Linked DNA regions of Kluyveromyces lactis. The protein of the gene in region 1 binds, or shares a complex with, the protein of each later gene. Links are inferred from orthologs where the notes say so. Each region holds a gene or a part of one and is shown in the gene's direction. Other genes may lie near its edges. The genes, in order: NUP1, NIC96, NUP82, GLE1, MLP2, NDC1 and NUP145.

What was found.
Region 2: NUP1 (region 1) and NIC96 share a complex: the UniProt entries of both Saccharomyces cerevisiae proteins name them as parts of the nuclear pore complex. The link is inferred for Kluyveromyces lactis from reciprocal best matches to the Saccharomyces cerevisiae genes NUP1 and NIC96.
Region 3: NUP1 (region 1) and NUP82 share a complex: the UniProt entries of both Saccharomyces cerevisiae proteins name them as parts of the nuclear pore complex. The link is inferred for Kluyveromyces lactis from reciprocal best matches to the Saccharomyces cerevisiae genes NUP1 and NUP82.
Region 4: NUP1 (region 1) and GLE1 share a complex: the UniProt entries of both Saccharomyces cerevisiae proteins name them as parts of the nuclear pore complex. The link is inferred for Kluyveromyces lactis from reciprocal best matches to the Saccharomyces cerevisiae genes NUP1 and GLE1.
Region 5: NUP1 (region 1) and MLP2 share a complex: the UniProt entries of both Saccharomyces cerevisiae proteins name them as parts of the nuclear pore complex. The link is inferred for Kluyveromyces lactis from reciprocal best matches to the Saccharomyces cerevisiae genes NUP1 and MLP1.
Region 6: NUP1 (region 1) and NDC1 share a complex: the UniProt entries of both Saccharomyces cerevisiae proteins name them as parts of the nuclear pore complex. The link is inferred for Kluyveromyces lactis from reciprocal best matches to the Saccharomyces cerevisiae genes NUP1 and NDC1.
Region 7: NUP1 (region 1) and NUP145 share a complex: the UniProt entries of both Saccharomyces cerevisiae proteins name them as parts of the nuclear pore complex. The link is inferred for Kluyveromyces lactis from reciprocal best matches to the Saccharomyces cerevisiae genes NUP1 and NUP145.

What each region holds. Positions count from the first base shown.
Region 1 is NC_006039.1:1,148,483-1,152,510, forward strand, and holds NUP1 (FG-nucleoporin NUP1), read left to right. Parts: upstream 1-1,228; coding exon 1,229-3,952; downstream 3,953-4,028. UniProt on the Saccharomyces cerevisiae protein: Functions as a component of the nuclear pore complex (NPC).
Region 2 is NC_006041.1:1,253,996-1,258,275, reverse strand, and holds NIC96 (linker nucleoporin NIC96), read left to right. Parts: upstream 1-1,480; coding exon 1,481-4,063; downstream 4,064-4,280. Other genes in the region: PDH1 (putative 2-methylcitrate dehydratase), read left to right, coding at 1-972. UniProt on the Saccharomyces cerevisiae protein: Functions as a component of the nuclear pore complex (NPC).
Region 3 is NC_006042.1:156,109-160,136, reverse strand, and holds NUP82 (linker nucleoporin NUP82), read left to right. Parts: upstream 1-1,464; coding exon 1,465-3,528; downstream 3,529-4,028. Other genes in the region: mannose-ethanolamine phosphotransferase LAS21, read left to right, coding at 1-668; MRPL37 (mitochondrial 54S ribosomal protein mL54), read left to right, coding at 874-1,170; SDH8 (Sdh8p), read right to left, coding at 3,675-4,028. UniProt on the Saccharomyces cerevisiae protein: Functions as a component of the nuclear pore complex (NPC).
Region 4 is NC_006039.1:1,325,351-1,328,800, reverse strand, and holds GLE1 (nucleoporin GLE1), read left to right. Parts: upstream 1-1,315; coding exon 1,316-2,950; downstream 2,951-3,450. Other genes in the region: MRPL7 (mitochondrial 54S ribosomal protein uL5m), read right to left, coding at 6-875; FMN1 (riboflavin kinase), read left to right, coding at 3,330-3,450. UniProt on the Saccharomyces cerevisiae protein: Functions as a component of the nuclear pore complex (NPC).
Region 5 is NC_006037.1:55,751-60,024, reverse strand, and holds the start of MLP2 (Mlp2p), read left to right. Parts: upstream 1-1,474; coding exon 1,475-4,274. Other genes in the region: RPL40A (ubiquitin-60S ribosomal protein L40 fusion protein), read right to left, coding at 1-298, 838-845. UniProt on the Saccharomyces cerevisiae protein: Together with the closely related MLP2, involved in the structural and functional organization of perinuclear chromatin. Together with MLP2, associates with the nuclear pore complex and form filamentous structures along the nuclear periphery.
Region 6 is NC_006038.1:139,184-142,879, reverse strand, and holds NDC1 (Ndc1p), read left to right. Parts: upstream 1-1,375; coding exon 1,376-3,196; downstream 3,197-3,696. Other genes in the region: recombinase RAD52, read right to left, coding at 1-467. UniProt on the Saccharomyces cerevisiae protein: Functions as a component of the nuclear pore complex (NPC) and the spindle pole body (SPB), probably by playing a key role in de novo assembly and insertion of both structures in the nuclear envelope.
Region 7 is NC_006041.1:1,686,167-1,690,346, forward strand, and holds the start of NUP145 (nucleocytoplasmic transporter NUP145), read left to right. Parts: upstream 1-1,380; coding exon 1,381-4,180. Other genes in the region: kinetochore-microtubule binding complex subunit SPC105, read left to right, coding at 1-1,050. UniProt on the Saccharomyces cerevisiae protein: Functions as a component of the nuclear pore complex (NPC).

The sequences.
Region 1 (4,028 bases):
ACGTCAAACGATCAAATAACTTAGTAAAGCACCTAAGGAAACAAAAAACGATACCGAGTTGTTAAAGGTAAAATGCCTTCGTTTGTAATTTTTCAGTTTTCTTCAATTGAACAGTGGATATACGCTATTCTAATATCACATTTTTCTCGAGGCAACCCAGATTCGATCAGGGAATATTGAAAACTACAAAAAAAAAAAAAAAACTATATGATACCATTAGCAGAGCTCAGCCATAAAAATAGCACATTTATGACATTTATGACATTTATCGATCTCCCACTTCATGACTCGTAGTCGAAGGCATCGTGCGATGTTCCACTGCCCATTTTCTTCTAGTGTAATGATTCTTTTCTTTTCGGATTTAGACTTATGTGTTCGTTTCAGTCTTCTGTCCCTTCAAGGTGTTTTTTGGGATTTTCCTTGACCGATATGGCCTCTTCGTTTCGGAATCAAGCGGTCTGTTCTGTGGTGTCGAAGCCTCATAACCACATTCGGTGTTGCACTTTTTACTTGATTTCCTCCATGACGCGTTCTTCAAGGTTTCCCCAAACTAAAAAAAAAAAAACAAGATGGGACGAATGTATGACAGGATGGGGAGAAATCGGTCACGTGATAATCTGAATTTCACAAGAATAGAACACTTGTACTGTTAAGCATGGCATTGATGCACACTACGTTCTATCCTGTGCGTTCTTGCAGTTTAACGTTAAGTTTTTCTTTACTTATATATCAATTTGTTCTTTTCGATCCCTCATGTCACTTTCAGGCCTTATGTATAGAAAAATGAACAAAACTTGAGTTCTATATAAAACTTGAAAGCTAAAATAACGAAAAAGGGTACTTTTGTATTAAGTGGACGGCAAATCTTTAAACTTTCATAATGTAGAATCGTTATAATAAATTTTGGATAATAGTCGAGCCCCATATTGATGTTTTGGAACTAATGCAAATTTATGTCCATCTCCTAGCTAGACTCTCTTATACTGACGCCTTGGTTAGTTTAGGTCAATATGTGTCAAACCGTACAAAGTGATTATAACCCTGTAAGAGGAAAAAAATAACAGCTAGGAATGTTAGGACTTGAAATATCGAATTATCAAATATCGAATAATACCTTTATTAATACGCAAGAAAGTTACAGAAACAGCAGTTTCGAAAGAAATAGGAATCGAAAACTTGAATTGGACTCTGGTTCACTTGCCGCATATCACGGCCACTTTATAGAATAATGTCGGCATCATATCTGGAAAAACCCAAAAGATCGATTTCATCGACTTTGGCATCATTATTTACCAAGCATGACGATACGAATAGCGAAGATCCGAATATAACAAGGTCGCACAATGAAGATATCAGTGATTCAGGATCAGTGGTCATCAAGAGGCAAAAACGTGGCTTCGACGGTTACGAGGAATTGGTTTGGAATAACGAAAAAATCACCGATCACCCGTTAAATCACAATGGCATTGATGATATCAATTATGATGAAAGACCGAATATTTTCTTGTATGAAGGGGATTCTGAACATGGTGTAAGGCCTCCAGTACTAACGATAGAACCGAAACAAAGATTGCGGCTACTAAGGATGCAGCAACTGCGCCGTGCTCGGCAATTCCCACTTTTACAAAGACAATTACAATCAGCAGAGAACGGCCTATATCGCTTAACAGACGGCAAAAATGCTACTATAAAGAATTTACTCGTCAACAAACTACAAAGTGACAAGAAAAATCATAGGGTTTCCGATAACCCAAAGTCCAAGAAGTGGAAAGCTGATTTTCAATACGATTTATCAGAATATGATATCTTGAAAAACGACAAAAAGACGAAACCAGTATCTGCCTCAATGGGGAATTTGGAATCTCCTAAACTACCACATCCATTGCTAAAAAGGAGTACCTCTTCAAAGAAACATGTCAATACTTTTGATCAAACAGGAGTGCCTAGTGGATCTGGCTTAACTGATGTTCAAAGCAGGTTATTACAAGGAAAGACATTGCAAAAAAATCCAAAGATAGCACAAGAAGTAGTTGCACCAACACTATCATTGAAACCTATCGTCAAGGAAAAAATATCAGAAGATAAAGTTTTAAACGCTAACGGCCCAAGTGTTGGATTTGACTTTATGAATAGAGACAGTACTTCTATTTTCCCAGGTAGCACAGATACACCTACCAAACCAACAGTATCCAAAAATATATCTTTTGGAAATACCAAATTGGATTTATTCAACAATGATAAACAGAAATTAACGGCCCCTTCTCAGGATTCTGAAGAGTTACCAAGAAAAAAGAAAGAATTTAGTTCTACTGAGGACACTGTTAAACCATTTCCCTTCACAAGTTCTAAGTCGCTGGAAACATCAACTGAACCATCGAAACCTGCTTTTTCTTTTGATGCGGTAAAAAAAAACAACACAGCTACAGCCAATGGAGGCACAAAAATCTCAGATGGTGCTCCTTCTTTCACCTTTGGTGATTTATCAAAAACCAAGAAAGAGACCAAAAAAGCTGAAACATCCAAAAACCCCTTTGAGAAATCCGCCCCCGAACCTGTTGAAAATCTGGCTAAAGACGGCCTCCCTAAGTTCAGCTTCACTGGTGCGGATACAACTGGGATATCAAATATACCTACATTTAGTTTTGGAAAATCTTCAGAAGGCAAAGAGATAGCTAAACCCGCCCCTTCATTCAGTTTTGGCAGCCAAAAAGATGCAGGCGAACCAACTAATGTCAGTGAAATGTCAAAACCTATGTTTAGCTTCAACAAAGGAAAATCATCTACTCCAGATCTGACCCCATTGAGTACCTCTCAATCAACTAATACACCTAAACCACTATTTCAGTTTGGTTCCAGTGGTAGTACTGAACCTGCCGCAAAGAGACCAGATGGTACAAAAACTGAAGCACCAGTGCTGCCATCATTCAGCTTTGGTGGTAAACCTGTAGGAAATGATTCGTCAAAAAATATTGAGAAGGAAAAAGCTAAACCTTTCAGTTTTGGGCAAGCTTCGAATACATCAGCATTTTCTCTCAACCAACAGCCTTCAGCAGACAACGCGACAGAGAAGCAGGAAGCCAAAAATGCCGTCAGTACTGCTGTAAAACCTGCATTCTCCTTTGGTAGCACCCCAGCAGCCCTACCTTCTGATACAACCCCAAAAGAAGCTGCTGCACCATCATTTTCGTTCGGGACCACAAAGAAACCTGTTCAAGGTGATATGAGTTCGAAACCTGCATTCTCTTTTGGAAGTTCCTCTGCCATCCAGCAGCCCTCAATTGAAAAAGCTTCCAATGCAATTCCTTCGTTTGCAAGTCAGAACACCAGTGGCCAGCCTGTCAGCGGACTCAAATTTGATTTGACAGGGTTTAAAAATAATAATAGACAAACTACTCCGACTCCGTTTTCAGATTCATCAAATGTTGGATCTGCTCGTGGAAGCAACCCTCCTGTCCCATTCTCATTTGATAATGTCGTTCAACCTGGGAATAAGATAAGTGTAACGCAGCCTACTCAAACTACATTTACTTTTGCACAACAAAATCAAAAACCATTTACTTTTACTGGAAGTGGGCCAAGCACTACCAACAGTTCACCTGCATTTGGAACCAGTTCCAATCAGCCTAATGTACCTTTTTCATTCGGCGGAAGCTCAGCTTCTTCCACTCCCCAGGTACCAGCATTGGGTACCGGTTTCGGTAATTCTATGCAGACAAACACATTTAATCCTTCAGCCGCTGCCAATTTTAATTTTGGTGGTCAACCATCTCAAAGTCCTTCTGTAGTATTTGGATCCCAAACCCCGCAACAGAATCCATCGTCCATATTTTCCGCTGGTCAGCAGAATCCAGCGGACATATTCAATGCGCAGGCTTCAACTCCTCAAGGAGGGGCACCATTTCCACCGCAGCGCAAAATTGCTATGCCCGGTAGGAGAAGAAGAAGAGGCTAATAAAGGAAAACAAAGGCTTTGCATCTCAATTGTAACAATTATTGCATGATATCATTCCTTCCGACATCTTTACATT
Region 2 (4,280 bases), on another chromosome or scaffold:
AATAAGGTAGGATTGGACCACGTTGTTTTGGTCAAAGTTGCTACCACTGCTGTGGTTTCCAAGATGTTGGGTCTATCAGAAGCTCAGACCACAGAAGCTTTATCTCATGCTTTTGTAGATGGACAAGCTTTAAGAACTTATAGGCATGCTCCAAATACTGGTTCCAGGAAATCTTGGGCTGCCGGTGACGCAGTGGCAAGAGCTGTCAACATTGCATATTTGGTGAAGAATGGAAGTCCAGGTACAATTCCTTCCGTACTAACCGCTAAGACATGGGGTTTTTATGACGTTCTTTTCAAAGGTAAACCATTCACCTTCCAGCAAAGGGACACTTTCGGTTCTTATGTGATGGAAAACGTTCTTTTCAAGATATCGTTCCCAGCAGAATTCCATGCTCAAACGGCAGTGGAAGCAGCTATTAAGGTGAATAAACAGTTGGCAGAGTTGGGCAAAACTTACAAAGACATTAAAAAGGTCAGAATTAGAACTCAAGAAGCCGCTGTGAGAATTATTGACAAGGAGGGTCCATTGTACAATTATGCTGACAGAGATCATTGTATTCAATACATGACTGCTATTCCATTAATTTACGGTAGACTAACGGCTGACGATTACAGTGATGAAGTAGCAAGCAACCCTGAAATTGACGAATTGAGAGCTAAGATGTATTGTACTAAAGATGACCAATTCACTTTGGATTATCATGATCCATCAAAGAGATCAATCCCAAACGCTTTGTTAGTAGAATTGAATGATGGGACTGTCTTAGATGAAGTGGTCGTAGAATATCCAATCGGTCACAGACTAAGAAGAAAGGAAGGTGTCCCACTATTGATGCAGAAATTCTACCACCATTTGCGTGAACATTTCGCCGGCGATATTGAAAAGGTGGAAGCTTTAATGGAAGCAAGTACAGATGACGGTTTCTTAAACTTAACTGTTGATGAATATGTCAACATGTACTGCGATTAAGCTTTGTCCTTCGCACAGCATCATCAACGTATAACGACCACAATCAATTTTTCATTTCATTCAACTCTTTTTTTGAACTAAACGAAGTAAAACCTACATTTCAATGGTAACCAAAACAACATTTTCTATTCTACAAAAACTGACCACAGGAATCAAAAGATTCTGGCAATCATCAATTCCAGATTACAATATATAATTAACTTATTTTCTCTTGAGTTAATACATACATACTTATGTTTTAATATTAATTACTGTCATGATCAATTTCTGGCTGTCCATTTTTTTGTCCCGTCACATGTTCGGGTAACGGTGCAAAACATTGTAGTTAAAAAAAATTAGACAGAAAACAATAAAAGAAAATGTAAACTATCAATACGTTGAATAGATGATGGAAATAATTCATTGAAGATACTTTGAAAATCAATACACATTGTTGCTATCCATCGCATCAAATTATCTTTAACCCGTTCAGATTTTGGAATTGTAAAATCCACACAATCGTGGAACTATGAATATCAACAGTCAAATCAGCAGTGATACAATGCTATCTGCATTTCAAAACGATGCAAAGACTAGTGGCTCCACGTCTAAGAGCTCATCGAAATTATTCAATGAGCTTTTAGAAACGTCAAAGAACTTACCTTCTACTTCATCTGACCTTGGAGCTATCTTATTGAGTGTCAATGAGATGAAAAAGAGGGCACAGGAGATGCGTAAGACAATTCCTCACGATTCCAATCATACAAAAGCTCATTATCTCTTAGCAGGAAGTGGACTTGAATTTCACGAAATTGAGAGTTCCTTGAAGAATCTTAAGTCATCAGAGTTGTTAACCGAACAACGGGTTGCACAAGGCTATAACGATGGTGATTTGGACACTTATTTACATATTAAGAAGGATGAGAATATCCTTTCCTCCATTGAACAATCATTGTCTTTAGCAGCGAAGGATTTTGATAATTTCATTAATCAGAACTTCAACCTAGATTGGAAGCAAAGGAAAGATGAAGTAAGAGAAAGCTTTGGGATCCTAGTCAAGAAACGTCAGGATAGTTCTAACTACGATACGACTAATTTGGCTCCTTTGGATCCCAACGGTCCAATATTTTGGGGGAAACCACCTGGTAGTGGTATCTTGGATGGTGATTTAAATTCAAATGTCAATGGAAATCACATCCTTAGAGAAAAGTTTGAGAAATATGCCAAAATTATTTACAGGTTTAACAATTCAAGACAATCACATAATGACGATTTTCAATTAACCAAAGAGTTCATTGCCATCTTTCAGAATACGACCGACTCGAAGTATAGACAGCTACTTGACGGTTGGGAGATTATAGATAATGCAACAAATCAATCCCCAAATATTGTTGAGTTTTCCAAAAAATACCTAGAAAACCAGTTCTTGAGCTATGTTGACAATTTGTATTCAAAGAATCCAAGCGAAGGTTTACCGACCAATGTTAACAAAATTAGAGCATTTATTGACCTCAAACTGAAGACTGGTGAAAATACTTGGAAATTTAACAATCTTACGATTGTGAATGGAATTCCCGTATGGGCCTTGATTTTTTATTTGCTAAGGGCTGGTTTACCGCAGGACGCGCTAGAAGTAGTTGTTAACAACAAATTGAGTTTCAAAAAAGTGGAGCAATCTTTCCTAACATACTTCAAAGCTTATGTAACGTCTCCTGATCATCGTCTTCCACAGGAATTTGTCTCAAGGTTGCATACAGAATATAACCAGCATATCAAAAACACTTTGGACAGCGATCCGTTCCGTTTGGCGGTCTACAAAATTATTGGCAGATGTGATTTGACAAGGAAGAATATCTCTTCTATTACTCTAAGCGTGGAAGATTGGTTATGGATTCACTTGATGTTAATCAAAGATGATATGGATATGGATGATCCAGTATATGAAAGGTATACCCTCAGCGATTTCCAACATACTGTTGTCTCTTACGGTGAGTACATGTTTAAAAACTATTATCTACAGGCCCTTTTGTTAAGCGGACAATATGAACTAGCAGTACAGTACTCATACAAAATAAATGAAATCGATGCTGTTCACTTGGCAATTGGTCTAGCGGCAAATGGCATGTTACATGTGTCATCTTATAAAAAGGATGAGTTGATCTCCGTGAATGATGGCCAAACAAGGATAAACTTTGTTAAGGTATTAGGAAATTACACAAAGTCGTTCAAGTACTCTGATCCAAGAATAGCTGTCGAATATCTAATTCTCATCGCACTAGTGAATGAGAAAGAGCAGATTGAATGGGCGTATGAGGCACTCAGGGAATTGATCTTGGAAACTAAAGAGTTCACCATACTTCTCGGAAAGATCAACTCTGAAGGAATTAGGATCCCCGGTGTAGTTGAAGAAAGACGCCCATTATTACAGCTTGAGGACCAGAAGGACTTTTTGTATAAGATTACCGAACAGGCTGCTCGTAGGGCTGATGAAGAAAGAAGAATTCATGATAGTTTGTTGTTGTACCAGTTATCAGAAGAATATGACATTGTTATGTCCATTATCAACAAGTTATTGGGAGAACTTCTAAGTAGCACTGACCTCAATCAATCCCTCTTTAGGTTGAATGACAACAGCGAAACGAATTACGTCTTAATGGCAAAGAAGTTAATCGAAGTGTACATCAACAACATCGAAATCTCTAAAAAGGTTCAGGCAAGAAACAAAGAAACATGTATTGTCTTGTTGAAACTAGCTGATATAAGAGCATCATTCCTAGCACGCCAATGGCAAAACACCCTACAACAGATTGAAGATCTCGATTTAATTCCGTTCACGGATGAAAGCTCGACCAGAAAAAGAGCACAAGAATTTACACATTTGGATGAGAATATATTAAAGAACATACCTAACCTGTTGATAATTACAATGCTATGCATTTCTAACATCATAAAGCAGTTGAACGAAAGTGATTACCAATCTTTGACTAAAAAGCAGCAAATCGATTCTCTCAAACGTGTTGCTAAAAATTGTATGATTTATGCTGGTATGATTCAATACAAAATGCCAAGAGAAACTTACAGCATATTAATCAATATAGAAGTTGGTTTGTAGCAGAGCTCTCATTTATGAGCACCTGAGTTATGTCAGAACCCAGACGTCCTACCATAATAGCATACAATAAAATAACCATGTGTAAGTCGATTGTTATTCGATATAATTGCCTGATAGATTATATATGCATATGTATATATATACATTTGAACTGCCAATTACCTTTTCAGCAGTGCATTGTTGTAGTGAGTAGAAGATGCAACGAAATGTACAAGAA
Region 3 (4,028 bases), on another chromosome or scaffold:
ACACATTCGCACTTAGATCATGCGCCATGTATCTAGCTAATGAAAATGCTACAGAATCAGATATTTCACAATGTTTAGTGCCTATCGCTCGGATTTTCTTCCAAATATGTGGTGTATCTATTATAATCCTTCTTTTCATGAAATACGCCTTGAATAAAAGCACCAATATGTTAAACAAACTACTGAGTGTTATAAAATTCGTCTTGTTGCTCCAAACTTCATCTGCAAATATCCCATTGTTTCTAATATTTGAAATACTGACTAGCGTCACACCGGACATCACACCAATTTTCTCATTATGTCTACAAAACCTCACTTTTTTCCAATTTGGTGGTACGAACTCCATTGCAACTGTCAATCTAACTAATGCATACAATGGTGTTAGTAGCAACTATAACATATACGTTGTTGGTGTATTAATGTTCTTGTCTAACTACGCACCATCCATCTACTGGGCTCTCTCACTAATTCCTCAAAGCTACAAACAGAAGACACTACGCTTGCAGCATTACTATATCACCGGAACATGTCTAATGATAGCGTGCATTGCACTAAGGTACCACCTATTCATTTGGTCCGTGTTTAGCCCGAAACTATGCTACTACGCGGCCTGGTCCCTCTATAATGTCGTCATGGATTTCGCCATTACCCTGCTTGGCGTTTTGTGAATTCTTAGTTTTTGAATGAAAAATTTCGATAAAATCAACATTTTGTACCATAGAAATTCAAATTGGACTGTAAATGATCATGAACTTTGATAGCCGCAAGGCAGGACAAACTTGCCAAAACTTATTGTTGAGGTTCGAATTGGTATCGGCAACCACATACCCACCATAACAAATCGGTTATTTTTCATATTATATAAAGAGAGAAATGTTGAGAGTGACTCGCGTGCTATTTAACCAAGTGAAAAGCGAGGCATCTGGCCAAGCTGCCAAGATCGTGTCATCATGTCCAGCTGGCACTCCATTGAACTTACAAATCAAGAAATCCGGTAAGGAACCCGTGGCATTAGAAGACAGCGAATACCCTGAATGGCTCTGGACAGTGCTTGATGCCAACGTCCAAGCTGAAAAACTAGCAGCTGATCCAATCAAGCTAAGAAAAAAACAATTAAGGATAGCCAACCGTGCCAACATCAAACAAAATAACTTCTTAGCAAAGATTTAACGGACCCACAGTATGATTCACGCCTGTAAATATATATACATATAAAAATGACATAAAGACACATATCTAACATAACTTTTTGATATCTTTCGTACACTTCCTTTTCTGCAATACTGGATCTGCTATAGGTATTTTTTTTTTTTTACTATTAAAGTTCAAAATATTCAAAATATATCGACGATGAACTACTCTCACGCTTCTTGAAATACACGTAACACAGATCAACTGGCGATCTAACTGTGGTACCTTCTCTTCCATAACTTTAACTGCCGGATATTGAACCAATATAGTGGGATGTTACTCTTCAATACAGAAGATTTGAAGGCAATCTTCCAGGAAGTGTCTCTGAACCCTTCCGACCGTCTTGTCTGCAACAATTCCAACACTATTTATTTATGGCAGGACAACATCTTAAGAGTGCAATCAGACCACGAAACGCAATACAGGAGTTATAATGTGGAGCTTCCATTCGTTCCAGAACAAATGGTCATCAGTCCGTCGGGGGGCCTTGTAGCATTTCATGCGAACAGCGAGCTCTATGTCATGGAAGTGAATGAGCAATCTAGATTAAGAAAGCATTTCAATACCAGTCTAGGGATAAAAAAACTATTATGGCATCCTCTGGCTACTTATGGGTTATCTTTCGTTATTTTGCATGATGATAGTACAATTCGAATTTATGATCTTGAAGACCTAGAACCCGAATCTATCACTGTTTTCAATCGTAAATCGAGATCATTTGGGTTATCAGACCATGTGGAATCAGTTTGTGACATTGCATTTGATCCAACCGGTTTGACACTTTATCTGCTGAGCTCCTTCAATTACTGTGACATATATGCTATCCATCCGTGTCTACCAAAGAATTTTTCCCTACGCAGTAATGATACATCAAATGTCACATCAAGGACGAAAAATGGTTCTTTAGCGGATTACATGTTGCACAAATCATTGTCTTTATACAATAGCCTCGATAAACAGCTAAAGCTGATATCAGGTTCAGATCCTGATGTGGAATCCGATTACCTCACCTTAAAGCATGATCTATTGAAACAAATTCAATTTTTCGACAACTATAAAAAAAATGATGGTATAGACACATTCACGAGCAAAGCAATCAGGAACTCTGTACCACAGGGCCCGTTCATTATAAAAAAATTTCCGACAGCTTTGAATGCGAAAGAGGTCACAGGCTTGACAATCATACCGGTTGGAGAACGTTTGGGCCTTTTGAATCTTCAATTTATAGATGGAACAAACGTTGTGTTGTTCTCCGATTCTGAAATTGTCATGAGTTGGAGTTTACGCTCCAATACTACATTCAATAACCTTAGTGTAATAACAATGTTCAATGCAAAAGGTCAATGCCAACTACTAAACTCCTCGGAACCTAAATTAGTATTTACTGGTGATAGCTCCACGACTATCATGGAAATGCCATGGTTGGAACCATTGGCACAGTGCATAAGGCTTCATGACTTCTCTATCATTGATGATGTTAAGTTTGAAAATAAAATAAGAACAGTTTCAGGAACTTTCCTCGGTGTTTTATCTACCTTGTCTGGTGATATTCTTTACAACGGCAATTCCTTCAAGGTCATCGAGAGTAACGACAAGAGCACCACACAGAAACCCATAAACAGAACCGATGAAGTGAAATATACATATAAACCATCGTTGCCAACGTCTGGAAAGGAATTGGATATGCTTTTGACGAAGTATAAAACAGAAGCCAATGGATTCATTTCAGGCATACCGGACTCTTTGGCTCCTCTCCCTTTGAAGAACAATTCCAATGAACGTCAATTGGAAGTGGTTTCTGAACTTTACAAGGAAACCATGAAGCGCGTCAAGTTGGGACAGATGATTTTATTTAGAATGTTCAACAAATCCAACGAAGAAGTGGCTGAACTCCATCGCCAATTAAGAAAAACCAACGAGATCGAAATGTTGAGAAATAAACTTAACGGAAACTTGGGAGACCTCCAAGAAAGATATTCCAGGTATGAGGAAAAGTCCAAGACGTTGGAAAAACGACTTGACAAGTTAAAAGAGACATTCTCCAGTATAGAAAATAACGAGAAATTAAGAACAAGCAGTATCAGCGAGGCCGAACTAGTGTGGTTCAAAAGTATCAAAAACCAGGTATTAAAGTTCAATAACTATGTACATCTGACAAACAAACTTCGCGAAGAACTAGAGTTTTTGGACACACAGCTTAGATCAACTACTAAAGGAGACGATTTCTTTTCCGAGCTAGAATTTAGTTCCCTACAACAAATGTTACTGAACGACAAAAAGGTCATCAATTCTTGTATGAATGAGTTAAGCGCATCCATTGAAGATCTAGCGGTATAATAGCAATCACCATCTACATATCTTTTTTTTTTCGTTTTTAGTTTTAAAACTGGCATATACCTTACTATATTATGTGCTACTTTTTATATCATTTCATTATGTGAATATGCTACTAACCGAATTTTGTTTTAACGTGTGAATGGCGCTCAAAAATCGGTGACTCTTCCGTTGAAAGAATAATCACCATGCCTTAATGGATCCTGCTTTGGTCCACCAATTTCTCCTGTTTTAGGATTCTTTTCGCCTTCGAACTCTGGTATAGTCTTCATAAATTCTGGAGAAAACCCACCAATATCGTTCTTCAAGATTGGCGATTTCACCGATTCCATAGTATGATCCGATTCAAACTGTGCATTATAAGAATCAATAGCTTCTTGAGAAGACGCTAGCTTCTGCAGCCTTTCAAACTCTTCCTGGTCTTCCTTTGGTAATGGTGGTGGACCTGCTCTTCTTTCTTGAAATGTTCTAATTTGATTCAACCTGACAAAGGCTGGTCTTAG
Region 4 (3,450 bases), about 180 kb from region 1:
GAGCATTAATTGATCTTTTCCGAACCGTTGAAAGGAAAACCGAATCCACTGACCAAAGTTCTAGCCTGTACGTCAGTTTGGGCAGTTGTGTTGATGTTGATGTGCATACCAAAAGTTACTGGCCAAAGATCTTGATTAGCATCAATCTCTGGGAAAAATCTGACTTCATCGCTGGTCATACCAAATGATAACCCACCAAATCTGTTACCTGACTTGTTGGAGATACCTTTGTATTCTCTGATTCTTGGTAGTACAATTTCAGTCAAAGTGGATAAGAACTGAGACATTGGACGACCTTTCAATGTAATGACAGCACCCATTTGGGTACCTCTTCTGACCTTCCAGGCCGGAACATCATTCCTAGAGAACAAAGCCTTTGGTTTACACCCGGTAATTTGTTGCAATTGTAATGCTGCTGAAATTGGTAGATATTGGTTCTCTTTTGCATCTCTGACGTAACAGTTAATAACAACGGACTCGATGTCTGGAATGTTCTTCCACGTTACTGGATGAATATCTGGCAATTGAGCACTTGAGCCCTTAGGTTTTCTGGGTTCTCTGTTAATGTGATATGGAGAAGAACCGTCCCATTCTCTTTGCTTCAACCCGAGCTTCGTTTGGCTTTTGTGGGAATAATTTATCAATAATAAATCGCTTTGTAAAGTATTATAATAATGCTCACGAACACGGTCTTGATGTGTAACAACAGGCTTGAATGCTGGAGATCTAATATCGTTTTTACTATATTTCAATTCAGGAAACCTTGGGGATAGCTTGCTCTTGTCGATCTTAACCAAATGATGCACTGGCTTAACCAAAGCACAAGCAGCTTTGGAGACCTTTGAACTACTGTGGAAACCACGTACCACTTGCATTATCACTTGGTATCTTCTCACAGATGCGAACGAATGAATGTATAAACCTACGAATGGGAAGGAATACTGCTTTAAATCGAGTGAAACTGATCAAATCTCTATCATTATCTTACAGCTTTAGCTCGAAAGGTCGAAAAATTTTTAAAACTTTCAAGTACAGAGAATTCAATATACGTCACGTGACAAGAATCAACAAAAAGTGAAATTTGATTAAAAACCAGGTAGAGCTCAGTTGATGATTATAGAGAGTGTTGACCTTTCAGCCCTTGTGTTGATGCATTGCAGCCGTTTTTTTTTGATCCCGTACTTAAAGACACGTAGCTGGATTCTCCATTTAGGTAATAACAGTCGAACTTAACCCCGAATCGTTTACTTGAATTGAGCTTTTTACCGATTTGATAAAGTAAAGAAAGCGATTGACACATATCAGGACAATTGAGATGAGGTTCTCATTTGACGAATTGTACGAGAATGCTGAACGGAAACAGAGTCAGAATACCAGCAGCAGTGATTCTGACTATGAATTAGACGGGGAGTTTACGTATATTGGCGATCCATCTGATGGGATCCAGTTAAAACTACCGAAATTATACCATTCTTCAAAGAATGACGGCCAAGGTGAAGAGCAAGGGTTTAGTTCAGGAGATACAATTTCTTTAGAGGATGTGGTAGAACCAGAAATAGTTTCAATGCTTTCCAACTTAAATATCACTCTTGAAAGGAATGCACTACCGCATCTTACAACGAGAGGTCACGAGAATAAAGCTTTAGGCCCTGTTCTTATTGACGAAGCAGAACTTTATTACCAAGAGAAGAAGGATTTGATTGACGAGGTGGAACAACACACCTTTCCTATGCAAGACCAGGTGCTTGAATCTGTGTGGAATGAGGAAATTGATTCAATTGAAAAGGTGAATCAACGTTTAATTAAAAGCATAAAGGATAAAAAGAAGAGGGAAGAGGAAGCACGTATCCAGAAAGAATGCGAAGCGGAGAAGCGCAGACAAGAAGAATTGAAGCATAAAAAGGAGATGGAAAAGAAGTTGAAGGAGGAAGAGAAACGGAAGATTCAAGAAATGGCAGAAAAGGAGAAGAAAGCTGAAGAAGCGAAGAGAGTAGAAGCCCTGAAAAAGAAGCAAGAACAAGAACAACTGGAGAGGAATAAACTTAAACAGTCCAAAGAATCTACAAATTTCAAGTTAATCGAAGAAACTTTTACTAAATACAAAACCATGATTCAGACAATTAAAACAGAAATAATTGAACCGGTGAAGGCGGATCCCACCTTGAAGAAAACTTTAGCACAACATAAGAGGAAAATTAATCCAAAATTCGGACAATTAACCAACAGTACTGCACAATTGAATGCAATCACCAATGAACTTACCGAACTGGTACTTCAAACGAAGGCTAACCAATTAGCCTATAAATGGATTCTAAACTTTATAGCTAAGGCGATTGTTTCCCAAGCAGAATCTGAGGCCAGAGTGAAACCTGAAAGCGCTTTGCCTTTAGGAACACTTGCGCTAAGTCTTCTTGCATCATACCCGGAACTCAAAGAGTTCTTACTGGCGAGACTCATCAAGAAATGTCCGTTTGTTATCGGTTACACGTGCAGCATAGACACAGTCGAAGGAAGAACCAGAATGGGATGGAAACGTCAAAGTGACAACAGATGGGAAGAAGATATTTCATATGATGAAAGGATGGGTGGTATGATTACCTTGTTTGCTGTCATCACAAGATTACCTCTACCGCAAACGTACATTCAGAAACTTGTGCATCCTTTCCCAATCTCTTGGTCATGGAGAATGCTAGCTAGAATCGGCAACACTCCAAAGGATCTACTTACAAATACACACTTCGTCGTTCTTGCCTACTGGTGGGAGGCTGCGGCAGCACAATTGCTCCAAGCATACAACGTTCAGGCAACAAAACTACTTGAAGTTATTTCGATTGATTTAACTGCACTTGTTGCTGACAAAAAATTCGTTGGTGCAGCAAGACTCCGCATTATTAACGAGGAATGGCATAATACAAATCAAATATCATCATTCCCAGATATGGCAGCATAACGGCTAGAGTTTTCTCTAGTAAAATATATATATATATATATATGTATGTATACCTTCAGATCTTCGTTTTCATCATGTGTTCAGGGCATAGTATATGCCTTATGTTCTCATAAAACTTTAATAATGAGGATTCAAATATTTCCAGAGAGAGAGCGTACCTCATTGCCTAGAAATACTCCGCAACTGTTGAACAAACCATGAACCCATTTTCACGTGCCCATTTACCCTTTTCTTTCTTATTCTTACTTGCAACAGTCTTTATACTCAAAGAGTTCGAACCTTTAAAAACGTAGTTTGAATCTTGTGAATACTTCCATGTGGTTATCATACAAACGAATAACGATCGGATCATCAAAAACTCGCAGTAAGACCTAGAGCAATGACAAGGCATTGTGACGTTTCGATACCGGATTCACCTGAACCTCCTTTTCCAATTACCACATCGTTCGTCGATGTAATAGCTGGTTTCGGTCGTGGATCAGCAGAGTTAGGAATTCCTA
Region 5 (4,274 bases), on another chromosome or scaffold:
TCTAGCGTAACACTTTCTGCAAACGGACTTTTCACAGTTGTACTTAGAAGCCAAAGCCTTTAAAGATGGTTCAATGATACCACCTCTCAATCTCAAAACCAAGTGCAAAGTGGATTCCTTTTGGATGTTGTAGTCAGACAAGGTTCTACCATCTTCCAATTGCTTACCAGCAAAGATCAATCTTTGTTGGTCTGGTGGGATACCTTCCTTGTCTTGAATCTTAGACTTGACATTGTCAATGGTGTCGGAAGATTCGACTTCCAAAGTGATGGTCTTACCAGTCAAGGTCTTGACGAAACTGTTTTCAAAAAGATATGATTTGTTAGTAAAAGTTTGAAACTCGATCAGAACAAAGTTCTTAAGGCAATCTTATTGGGACGATTCCTAGAATTAGTGAACGTTCAAGTTAATTTTGCTAGATTAGTAAAGCTTAATAAAAAACCAAAAAAAATTCCCTCTGTAGGTATGAATTGTTGTGCATTTGATAGTTAGGAGGTGATAGGTCCCATTAAACTGCTTCCTTGTATCCTTATTCATTCTGCAAAGCGTACTTGCTTTCGTTTGAAGAAATCGTGACATATATCTCACTCAACAGTTTAGACCGCGTACTCACACTCTCCGAAATGAAACGCTCAAGTTCTCACAGGATAGCGACTATCATGATATATGTTACACCAAACACAGTAAATCCTTGTCATTTTCATTAGTTGTTATCCGAGTTCGTCTTGTTGTTTTTTAGCTAATGTGCTTTCGTCCCATTTCAAAGTAGCATAAACCGTCTTGAATCACCAAGAAACCCCAAAATAAGATGCCTTTTGCTTATCATATTGTGCATACATTTGCATTTTTGAATCTTGTCCTTTCCTGATCTTTTTGATAGTAATCAACAACTAAGTACAGCTATCTTAAGTGCGTATGATTAAATGATATAATCCAAAATACTTTGAGTATGAATTCTTGCTTGCTTTCCTCAATCTGGGTTTGGTACATAGAAAGTTGGTGAACCTGAGGAATCGACAACGAGCAAAAACGAAGTGATTTCTGCAATTAGAAAATAAAAATACCGTTTTGAGGAATATATGCATTTTTAATTGTCAAGCCCCGAAATTTATACACCCAGACACACTGTTGAATAGTGCACGGATGTTGTTGCAAACCGTCCCAACTTGGAACGTAGAATTTTACTGGTACCGGTTACCCTGATTGTTAGTTTAGATACGACTTCTGTATTTCGTTCTGCAGTCAGTTCGTGGTATCTGGTCGTTATTTTGAATTTCACCGAATTGGACCTAATATTGAAATTGAACAAAAATTACCTGTCAAGAACAAAGCCTATGTGCATTGTATATGCTCATGTATACCTGCAGAAATTTTTAGTATACTTCTAATTGAATATCATAGCGATTAGCTTGAACACTAGGTAAAAGTAGCGTCTTATAGATTGCTATTCCATTGTTGTGTTGTGGAGTTGAGAATGTCCGTAGAACCCATTGCCTCTAGGGTCGCAGACTTTCTACAAGTCGACCAGCAACTGATACAAGACATTAATAATGATGTTTTAGGTAGGATTGAGGAGAAGTTGGAAGATCTTCGGAAACAAAAATCTGAAAACCTAAGAATAACTGCTACCTTGGATCAATTAAAATCTCAATCAGAGAACAAACTAGAATCATTCAAAATTCACATCTCTCAACTAGCCAAGGCATTGGAAGATGGGAAGGATGAGCGCTTACACTTTGAAGAAGAGAAAAGGCGTCTAATTGAAGGAAATTCACAAGTGACCAAAAGAATCATAGAATTGGAACAAGAAATAGAAGTAGAGAGGCAACAAAAAGAACTTGCTGACGCTTCTAAGCAAGATATTGCAGAGTCACTAAACGAAAAAATTGAAGAACTCAGTTCTACCAAAGCTAAATTGAATGAAGCACAGGGAGCGAATAAGGAACTTAGACAAAAAGTCGTCAATACTGAAACTGAGCTACAAACTCAGCAGGCCTTAGAGCTACGTTCGAAAAGCGAGATTTTAAGGATGGAACAAGAAATCACATTATTGAGAGAAAACAATGACTGGTTGACCAATCAGTTAAATACCAAGACCGTACAACTCAATGAGTTTAGAGAAAGCACAATTAGTGAATTACAAGATTCTCAGTTAAAGGTATCGAATATGGAATCAGAGTTGGAAATAGCTCGAACCAGTAATCAGAAACTAAAACAATCGGTACACAGTTTACATGAACAACTGGAGCAAAAACTTTCCGAGAACAAAGAAATTAAAGATGAGTACAATTTCTCTAAACAAGAGCTTACGAAAGAGATGTCTTTAAAGCAGAGAATGATTGATGCTCTAGAGAAACATATGGAATCATTGAAGAAAGAAATGGATGCTACAAAGAATAACATGGACTCATCATATTTCACCGAAAAAGAAAGAGACGAGCTCATTGAAGAGCTCAATGCGGTCAAATATCGTTTAGACGCATCTGAATCTAACTGCATAAAACTTAAGGAGACAATCGATGAATTAACATCCAACATAAAATTAGAAGACTCCGAAGTTGGTAATACCACTGCGTCTTCAGAAAAATCGGTTTCTGTCATACCTAAGTTATATGGTGATTTGGGAATGCTCAAAAAACAGCTGGTTATTGAGAAAAGACAAAAAGACGAGTTAAAAATGCAAGTGGAAGCATTCGTTGTTGAATTAGAGCATAAAATCCCTGTTCTCAATTCCTTCAAAGAGAGAAGTGAAATGCTTGAAAGAGAGTTAAATGAGGTTACTATTTTGTTAGAGTCAACTGGCAAAGACCGTGATCAAAAGTCGTCACAACTTGATTATTTGAAAGCTACTGTGAAAAGCTATGAGACTCAAATAGCCTCCCTATCTAAGCAACGTGTTGACCTTGCCCATCAGATACAGTACTTACTCGTGAACGAATCTATTAAGTCAGAGGATGGCGGACCATTATCCGCTGAAGAATTGCAATTTGTCAAAAATCTAACCAACTCTCAAGAAATAACAAAGACCTCTGACACTCAAGGCATTATAACCGATCGACTAGTAGAATTTAGATCAGTAGTTGAGTTGCAGCAGAAAAACTCCGAACTTCTTTCTACAATTCGCAATCTTGCTGATGAATTAGAACGCAGGGAAGCTGAAAACAAATCTCAAATCCAGGTATTAGAGGATGAAACGGTGAGAGAGGCAAAAGAAACCATTCTTACACTTCATGATCATGCACAGAACCTTGAAAACCAACTAGTCATTCTATCAAAGGAGAGGGACGCATACAAGGCATTGTCAGTAAATGCTAGCTCTGGCACAAACACACCTAAGGCCATTACTTACCCTTCTCCTGATAATGACGATAAAGTGAAGGATCTCGAAACAAGACTCACCGCTGTCATTCAAGAAGCAGAGAATAATGCCAAGGAATGGTCATCAGAAAACAGCAACCTGCGTAAGAAATTATATGAAATATCACTTAATTTCGAATCTGAGAAAACTTCACGTACTCTTGCAGAAGATAGGTTAAATCTATTACAATCAACTTTAGAGCTTTCCAAACGCCAATGTGAGGAGCTACAAAAAAGATCATCTGATCTACAAGATATTTTAACAAAACAGGACAAACGTACACAGGAGACTGTAGATTCCTTAATCAAAACGAAATCCACTTTGTCATCTATACAATCGGAACTATCCATCTTGAAGTCTGAAAAACAGTTTATGGCAAAGGTTCAAAAGGAACTGAAGGCAGAGAACGAAAGATTTTCCAAAGAAAGTGTCGAATACAAGGTGTTAATTGCGCAACTTCAGACACTCCAACGTGAGAGAGAAATGTTACTCAAGGAAACTCAGAATTCTTATAAGGAAAAGCTTAGAAAATTGGAAATTGAGTTGTCTGGTTCACTCGAACGCCTTGAAGAAATTGAAAAAAACACCACAGGAATTGCTAGCAATAAAGAGCATCAATATAATTGGTTTCAAGAAAAGATTGATAAGTTAACTAGTGAGGCAGCTCAACAGAAAACGACCTTAGAAGAAAAAGAAGCTCAACTTCAGAAAATGCAATCCACTATCAATGAACAATCCGCAAAACTCAAGGAGGCCGAGGCACGGGCACAATCATATACGATGTTAAGTAATGTCGATGATGCTCAAAACCTAGTTGAGACTTTGAGACAGGAATTGGAAAAGGTTAACTTGCAACTTTCTGATTCATATTCACAAATAGAGCATCATAAAACTCTGGCGGAACAGTCCGTGCAAT
Region 6 (3,696 bases), on another chromosome or scaffold:
TCAAACTTCACTTTATCAATCTTAGCCAAGAAATCCTTATCATAAAGACAATTCCCAAGAGCGTTTCCGAACCCTCTTAACGATCTTTTCAACGCATCTGTCACTGCAGATTTCTTGGCACGCTCGAAAGCGCTGGCTTTCCTCCGTTCATTTTCCACGGTTCCATACCCAATATCCTCTCTGAACGTTCCATCGGCTAACGAAACACGAACAATAGCGGTGCATCCAATACTAAATCGACCTTGCCTTTCGTCAAGGAAATCTATAGTGACATTTTTAACCTCCGTAGACCATCCGTCATACCCAAAAATCTGGTTTGCTAGATTGATTGCTTTCCAGCCTTCGATATATGCTACTCTACTGGATCCAAATCCTACTCTCTTTGAAATATATTCTGGTCCTAGCTTCTTATCTAACTTCGTTTGAATGTCATCTTTACCATTCTTGCCACTTCCTGTATCCTCCATATCTAACAAACTGCAAAAAGGAAAATTGATGCGAGTCGCACTAATATACCAATCCACAAAATCTTCTACCAGTTAAAGACACAAGCAAGGTGGTATCCTGTCCAATTCAACAGCGCAAAATCGTTAACTGTTTGACCTAGTTTGTTTAAGTTTTAGTTTATCAATACAGTAAATTTGAAAAAAGTAAACAGAGCAGTAGCTTAAATCACGTAAACTTGAAAAAGATCTGTTTCTATCGGTATTAAAAGACGCGAGAGCCATGTAAATTGAAAGGAGTTTTGAAAGGATGGCAATGAAACTTAACATTATCATTATAGGATTGGCAGTACCTGTGCTGTCATAGAAGTACTTACATTGGTCATGAAAGTGGCGACGCAAATCATTCTAATATTTTCAGTACTCTATGAGTGACCTTGTATATATTTGTATATATCTTTTGGACAAGAATATCAACTTTTAAGCGTTAAAGTTGACACGAGACCATTGTTACAAGAAAGAGAAAGAGAATATGACACATATTTAGTTGATTTACTTATTTACATGTAACAACTGTTTACGATATCATCAGGTTCGCGTTTAGCGTCTATATGTTGAGACTGACCTCACTGACAAGGAGGTGATTGTCTTTAGTTTCGAGTTACCATGCAAATCAACTATGACATTGGCATAAGAGGGTTACCCGAATATCTAATTTTTTTATGACGCCTGATCTCTAGATCACAACCTGTTAAGAACTTAAAATGCTTGAGATGATATACAAATAAATAATATAAGTAACTCGGAAGGTAATTGATTGTCCTAAAGTCCAATTGACCTTTGTCTGTTTTAAGCATCTAAAATTACTCAGCTTATTGCTATACAGGCTGTACTTTTACCTGTGTTCATCTTTGATTGGTTTGTTTTCATTGATGTCTTACGTGCAGAGTTTAGGACCGGTTGCACCGCAACTGCGTGATTCTCGTTTTACTTACCATCGGATATTCAGTGGGGTATGCAAGAGCAGGTTTAATAATTTCGCCAGGGGTTTACTCTTCAAAACAGCGGTACTTGTCGGTTTAATTACAACCATTACGACACAATGGGAGTTGTCGAAATCTCAGAAATTACTGTTATGGCCAGTAAAAATATTATCTTTCTATGTTGCAATGTTGATGCTAATTATTACCAGGAAAAACTATCTTCATGTCAATTACCTTGGATATACGAGCTGGATAAGCGCATCATATGGCCAATTAGTCTCCCGTAAATGGATCACGTACCTTTTAGTTTACGTTGTGAGCGCATTCTTCCTTTCTTTGACATTTTCCTGTTGCTTTTTCACTCCAGGTACTGGTTCAAGAAAGCATTCACAGCATTACGAATTTTGTTGTCAGTTTATGGTACCTTTTTTGTATTCCATCCAACATGTACTTTTAGATCTTGACAGACTTACTTTCAACTACGGTGCTCAACATCAACATCCTCAGAAGTTTATGGCTTCAAGAATCCATGATTCATTTTTGAAGTGTCTTGTGTTAACTGCAATACTCTTTCTAATTACTCCAATTCTATTAAAGCTTTTATTCGGACATCTAGGCTCTGGTATATGGTCCCATATTAGGATTTGTTGTATATGCTTGTTAATCTTGCAAACATGGGACTTTACAAACATTGGCTTCGACGCCTTTCTATCAATTGGTTGCTTGCATAAAGGTAAACCAATCTCTTCGTTATCTCCAGCTTCAATGGAGACATTGATCACTGGGTTGAGATCAGAAAAATTATTTGTTAAACTTACTGCATTCCAAGAGCTGGCCTACAGAGCCACTTGTGCAAATGTGGAGTTGAGGCTCCCAATTTACCACAATACCTATAGAAATAGCTTGATCTGGCCCGGTATACTTAGAGAATGTATGATTGTTATTCAAGAAACCAACTATAACGTATCCGATTTCTTGCTTACATTGAAGAAAGAGATTGATCCCCAGCCTACAAAACCATCTTTCCCTATCAATAGATCGGTAGATCATTTATTCGGTACCAACCATACTGTCAGAAAACAAAATAATGATGAGGATTCCAGATTACCTGGTGCTCCTCCTACTGAACAAATAAATTCGGATCTACCATCAATGGCTTCACATAGAATCGTTTTAGAGGACAGCAATGTTTTCAAAAACAACGATACCCAAAGAAGTCCGAATCCTCCGAGATTTATCGACTCATACAAACAAGCAATTTTTACCAGACAACCTACAGTACTTTCTGTTTTGACTGATCTTTGGAATTGGATACAGAGAAGAATCAGTCAGTACTTTTTCACCATCGATTCAACTGATAACACGAACAAGAAGCTCTCATTGTTTGAACTTTACCATATATCAAAAGTAAGGGAAGCTGAGAAGTTGTGTCCTGTGCCAGTATGCTATGCCGAGTGTGTGTATTCGATGATGGGTTTTATAGTAAATTCTGTGGATGAAGATCCCAAAGGAGCTGTCGTATCTTCAGTCGGCGAAGTATTAAAAATTTTGGAAAGATCTATTGGCTCTTTAGGTTCGTTTACTGAATTAATATTGGATGGAAAACAAGAAAAGGATTTGAATGATGTCATAAGTGTGTTGTATGACTTATGTATCAATGCATTTTTGGAAATAGTTTTGAAGTATGACACTCTCCTTAACGATGTTTATTTGGACGAAGATGTCGTGAAGTTAACACAGTGGTTGCAAAAAATGTCACAAGATATTTAAACATAGCTTGGCATCAATTGGATTATTCCCAACAGAAGCATGTTACTCTAATAATATTCAAAAGTTATATTGCTTTCATTATAAAAGAGAAGAAATCTACCCCAAACTTCTGGTATGTTATAGGAAGATGTTACATGTACTGAACAAGCGAGCGGAGAATACTTGCTTCTTATTCCAGAAGTCGGAATTATTCATGAAATGTTTTTATTTTCCATTAACCTTCACTAGATCATAATGACCATTGAGGTTAGTATTTGAGTTACAGCAGAACTTTTGTTATAACAAACTTATTTTAGCATTACGTATGAATAAAATACAAACCAAAGCATACAAACGTTATCTTCATTTTTACAAAAAGGTCATTACGTATTTAAAAAGACTTTTTCCATCGGTTTATCAATTCATCGATCCGCACTAGCTTTTCGTGCACAATTAACGTTTCTCGCCAACCGTAAGTCTTATAAATTTAATAGCAACGTCTGTAGTATCTGCTCAAGAAG
Region 7 (4,180 bases), on another chromosome or scaffold:
GTAACCATAATGGCTAGATTACAATCTGAAAAAGTCTGGTTTGAGTGGAGATCACAACATTTGAAAGGAATTAAAACAGTCCTGGAAGAAAATATAGCTATCTTGGTGGATGAAAATGCCCAGATCATGAAATACATGAATGAAATAAATGACGTGAAAATAAGAGTTAGTGACATCAAACAGGTGTTAATGAAAGAACTTGATGTTCTTCGGCAGCACAACGATGTTTTTAGTAACAAGAAAGAGAACATAACGACTCTCCTGAAAGTGAACAAATTGAAAGGAGACTTGAGGGAGAACATGCTAAAGGTGTCAGACTTGAACCAGCTGACCACTAAAAAAGATCAACTTACCCAAAAAATACAAGATGCAAAATTGGAGATGAGTAAAGTGAACGAAGAGATTGCTCAACTTCGACAGGACTTGAAACAAAGCAAAGTTTGCACAGAATATGATGTGGCAAAGCTTAAACTAGTCCATCAGCTTTACCAAAGCATTTCTGGTATAAAGTTCAGAAAGTTAGTTGGTCCAGTCCTATCTGTATCATTACATGACGACAAAGTTATTGTGACAGCTGATCTTTCAAAAATTGATCAACCGTCATGTATTTCATTCAGTATTAGAGAAGAACGAATAGACCAATTTGAAAGAGAATTTATAAACTGTTGGATCAACTCTTGCCAGCGAACCTTCATAAATGGACTACAGTGCATATCAAGTTTGCAACGTCAACTGATAGATCTTTCAATTGTCATTTCAGAATTCAAAAAATTAAAACTCGTATTCCCGGCAACCGTCAATGCCCCATCACAGAATTCTCAGATCAAATATGTCACATTCCAGCATTTGGACTATAAATATCATTGCAAAGTAGCCCTTTCTTTGCCTATGGAAAGGTTTATTGATTTGATATGTCACTCTAAAAATGCGACCATCAATGTTAATATTATCTATGGCGAAGAAAAAACAGCAAGAAATCTAACGTCTAATCTCATAAAGAAATATGAAAAGGTATTTAAATGGCTCTCCAATTGTAATATAGCTCTTTGATATGGATATCCGAGCTTTTGTAGCGCAAGTTTTAGGCATTACGCAGTATATAGTTTCGTACGATATTTCTTTAAATTTCTCTCGAATGGCAATATTCCAAAAAATTGTTATTCTATAACATTTAAACAGTAAGATGAGTGTAAACAAAACACCTTTTGAACTCTAACAAGTGCACTACTTGGCTATCATTGATCGCAGAGCTTCTAAAAACCAATTCCATAGCTGGTGTTCATTGCTGCAGACGAAATTTCTCAGTTTTTTGTTACTGCTGTCATTTTTGAATCTGTACAGTTTAAACATCATCATCATAAATTCAACAACAAGTTGATTATGTTTGGTAATAACAAAGCGCCTGGTTCGTTATTCGGCAACGCGAACACCTCAACACCTACAACTTCTACACCAGCGAACAATGGGGTTTTGAATGGAAAACCCAATACTGGCACATTGTTTAGTGCTAATACACTCTCCACGCCGAGCCCTGGAAACCCAACAGGATTTGGCAATGCTCAGAACAACAACAACAAGCCTGGGTTGAATCTTTTTGGAAACAACAATGCTTCCCAGAATACACCACAGACGAATTCTCTATTCCAGCCTAATAACGCCGCTGCATCAACGCCCAACACATCATTATTTTCTGGCCCAGGGTCGAATGCCCAGCAGAACAATGGTGCTGGCAAGCTATTCGGAAATTCTGGTGGACAACAGACAGCTACTGGTATCTCATTCGGAAATAACCCCAGTGCGACAACAAACAATACGTTCCAATCAAACGGATTAAATACGCAACAGAGTGGTGGTTTATTTGGTAATAAATCAAACAATGGTGGGTCACTTTTCGGAAATACTCCATCGCAAACTAATAGTCTATTTTCTAATAATACCACGAACACGGCGTCAACAGTCCCAAAGACTTCACTGTTTGGAAATTCATCAACACAAGGTTCAGGGAGCTTATTCTCGTCCAGCAAACCAACTACAAATTCAACAGGCTTGTTCAATGTTTCTCAACTACAACAGCCACAGCAACCTGGCCAACCCCCAACGAACAACCCATACGGTTTGCAATTAAGTCCAAATCCTGTGCTGTCAATGCCAGAATCTATTACTACATCCCTGAGTAACGAGAGAAAGCCTGTCTCAGACTCGAAACAAAATAGAAAATTTTCAACTGCATCATCAGTGATCAGCAACAATATATTACCTCCCACAGGCAATTCAACACTGATAGGGAAGCTAACTTCAAGACTTAAGAATTTGAAGAGCAGAGAAACAACACATGGTTTGTTCTCCCCATCAAATAAAAACTTAGCCCAACAGGATACTTTCTCGGCACTTTCAAGAGATGAGAGTAAGGAAAAAGGGAAGAATATTAACAATAAGACAAACTCACTGGCTTCTTATTTTAACCAGGACGTTTCAAGCATGAAAAAATTAACCATTGATACAGACAGAAGCGCTGCCAAAAAGATGAAACTCTTTAACGGTCACTCTTCCGCTACCATAATGAAAGATATGGACGAGAAAGATCATAAGATTAGTATACCAAGGAATGATAAACTTCTTTTTTCAGCACATCCTTCAGAAACTAGTCCAACAGAGCCAACTTCGGAAGTCTGTCTGGATGAAGAACACAAAATAACGAATAAAGCAACTGACTATTGGTGCTCACCTACTATCGAACAATTAGAGCAACTTACGGAAAACCAGCTCACGGTTGTGCCCAATTTTGTGATTGGTCGCAAAAACTTTGGTTCCATCAGTTTTGACTATGAAGTTGACTTAACTGCATTTATGGATGATTTTGAAGAACTATTCGGAAGAACAATAATTTTTAATGAGAATAGAACCGTGGAAGTCTATCCTGATACCGAAAATAAACCGGATGTTGGTTATGGTGTCAATGTACCTGCTACAATAACTTTGGAAAATGTTTATCCGATCGATAAAAAAACAAAAGAACCCATTAAAGACAACTCGAAAATTGCTGAAGTTCAATATTTTGTCAAGCGTTTAAGGAATATGAAAGAAATGGAATTCATTTCATATAACCCATTTGGTGGAATTTGGACTTTTAGAGTTAAACATTTCAGTGTTTGGGGAATGGTCAATGAAGAAGATATGGAGGTGGATGCTGAAGAAGCAGAAAGAATAAACGCCGAGGAAATAAGAGACAGACCTCTGGCCTTTCCCAAGCGTCGCCACAGTGTGAAGAAGTCTAGCACGTCCCTTGAAGCGGAGGTACCAAGCAATGCAGACCTCACAGCAGCAGAGGCTCTTGCAATGGAGAAAGAAGTACTAGATTTGGTTCCAGTACTATCCGACTCTGTTGACCAAGACATGTCACTTATTATCAAGGAAAAACCTTACGAACCTTCTGATTTAGACGAAGATGATTTGAATATCCTCGAGGCTGCACCTAAACTTGTTACATCATCGAACTGGTTGCAACAATTACAATTAGCAGGTACTTCCAAACAGTCTGTGTATTCCAAGCCACTTTTACTCAAAAACACGCAAGGTAATTCTTTGGACGATATCTTGTTCCCTTCATTTAAGAAAGATTTATTGACATACCAATCTGTTAAAAGAGAAAGAAGAATCAACTCACATATGTGGTTTGCGAAGTTTAATATTAACGGGCAATTATTGCTCAAAGATCCATCACAGTTGTCAGGCTGTAAGCAGATCGTGTTTCAGTCCAACTTGCCAATAAATAAATCTTCTTTTGACAATGTGTTCGCCTCTTATCTGAACACATCCATAGTCAACTCCAGACCAAATGGTTATCCTCTTGTTGGGAAATGTTCCTTACAGTTCGATAATCTTGCTTCTGCATATTCTGATGTCCCAAATGAAGACAAAATATTGAAGTTAGCATCCATTTTGTTTGATCCTCTTTCCCTTCCATACGCTGTCAATTCCCCAGAAGTTGAAAAAGTTCTTATTAAAAAACAACGGCATGCAAAGCTCTGTGGATGGATAGTCGATGAAACAAGGGCTGAGATTGATTCTATGCTATCCACTGCTTCTGATATTCAGAAAATACTTCTTTTCCTCTCTGTCAACGACATTGTAAATGCTTCAAAGACGGCTATAATTTCCAAAAACAAACATTTATCTGTTT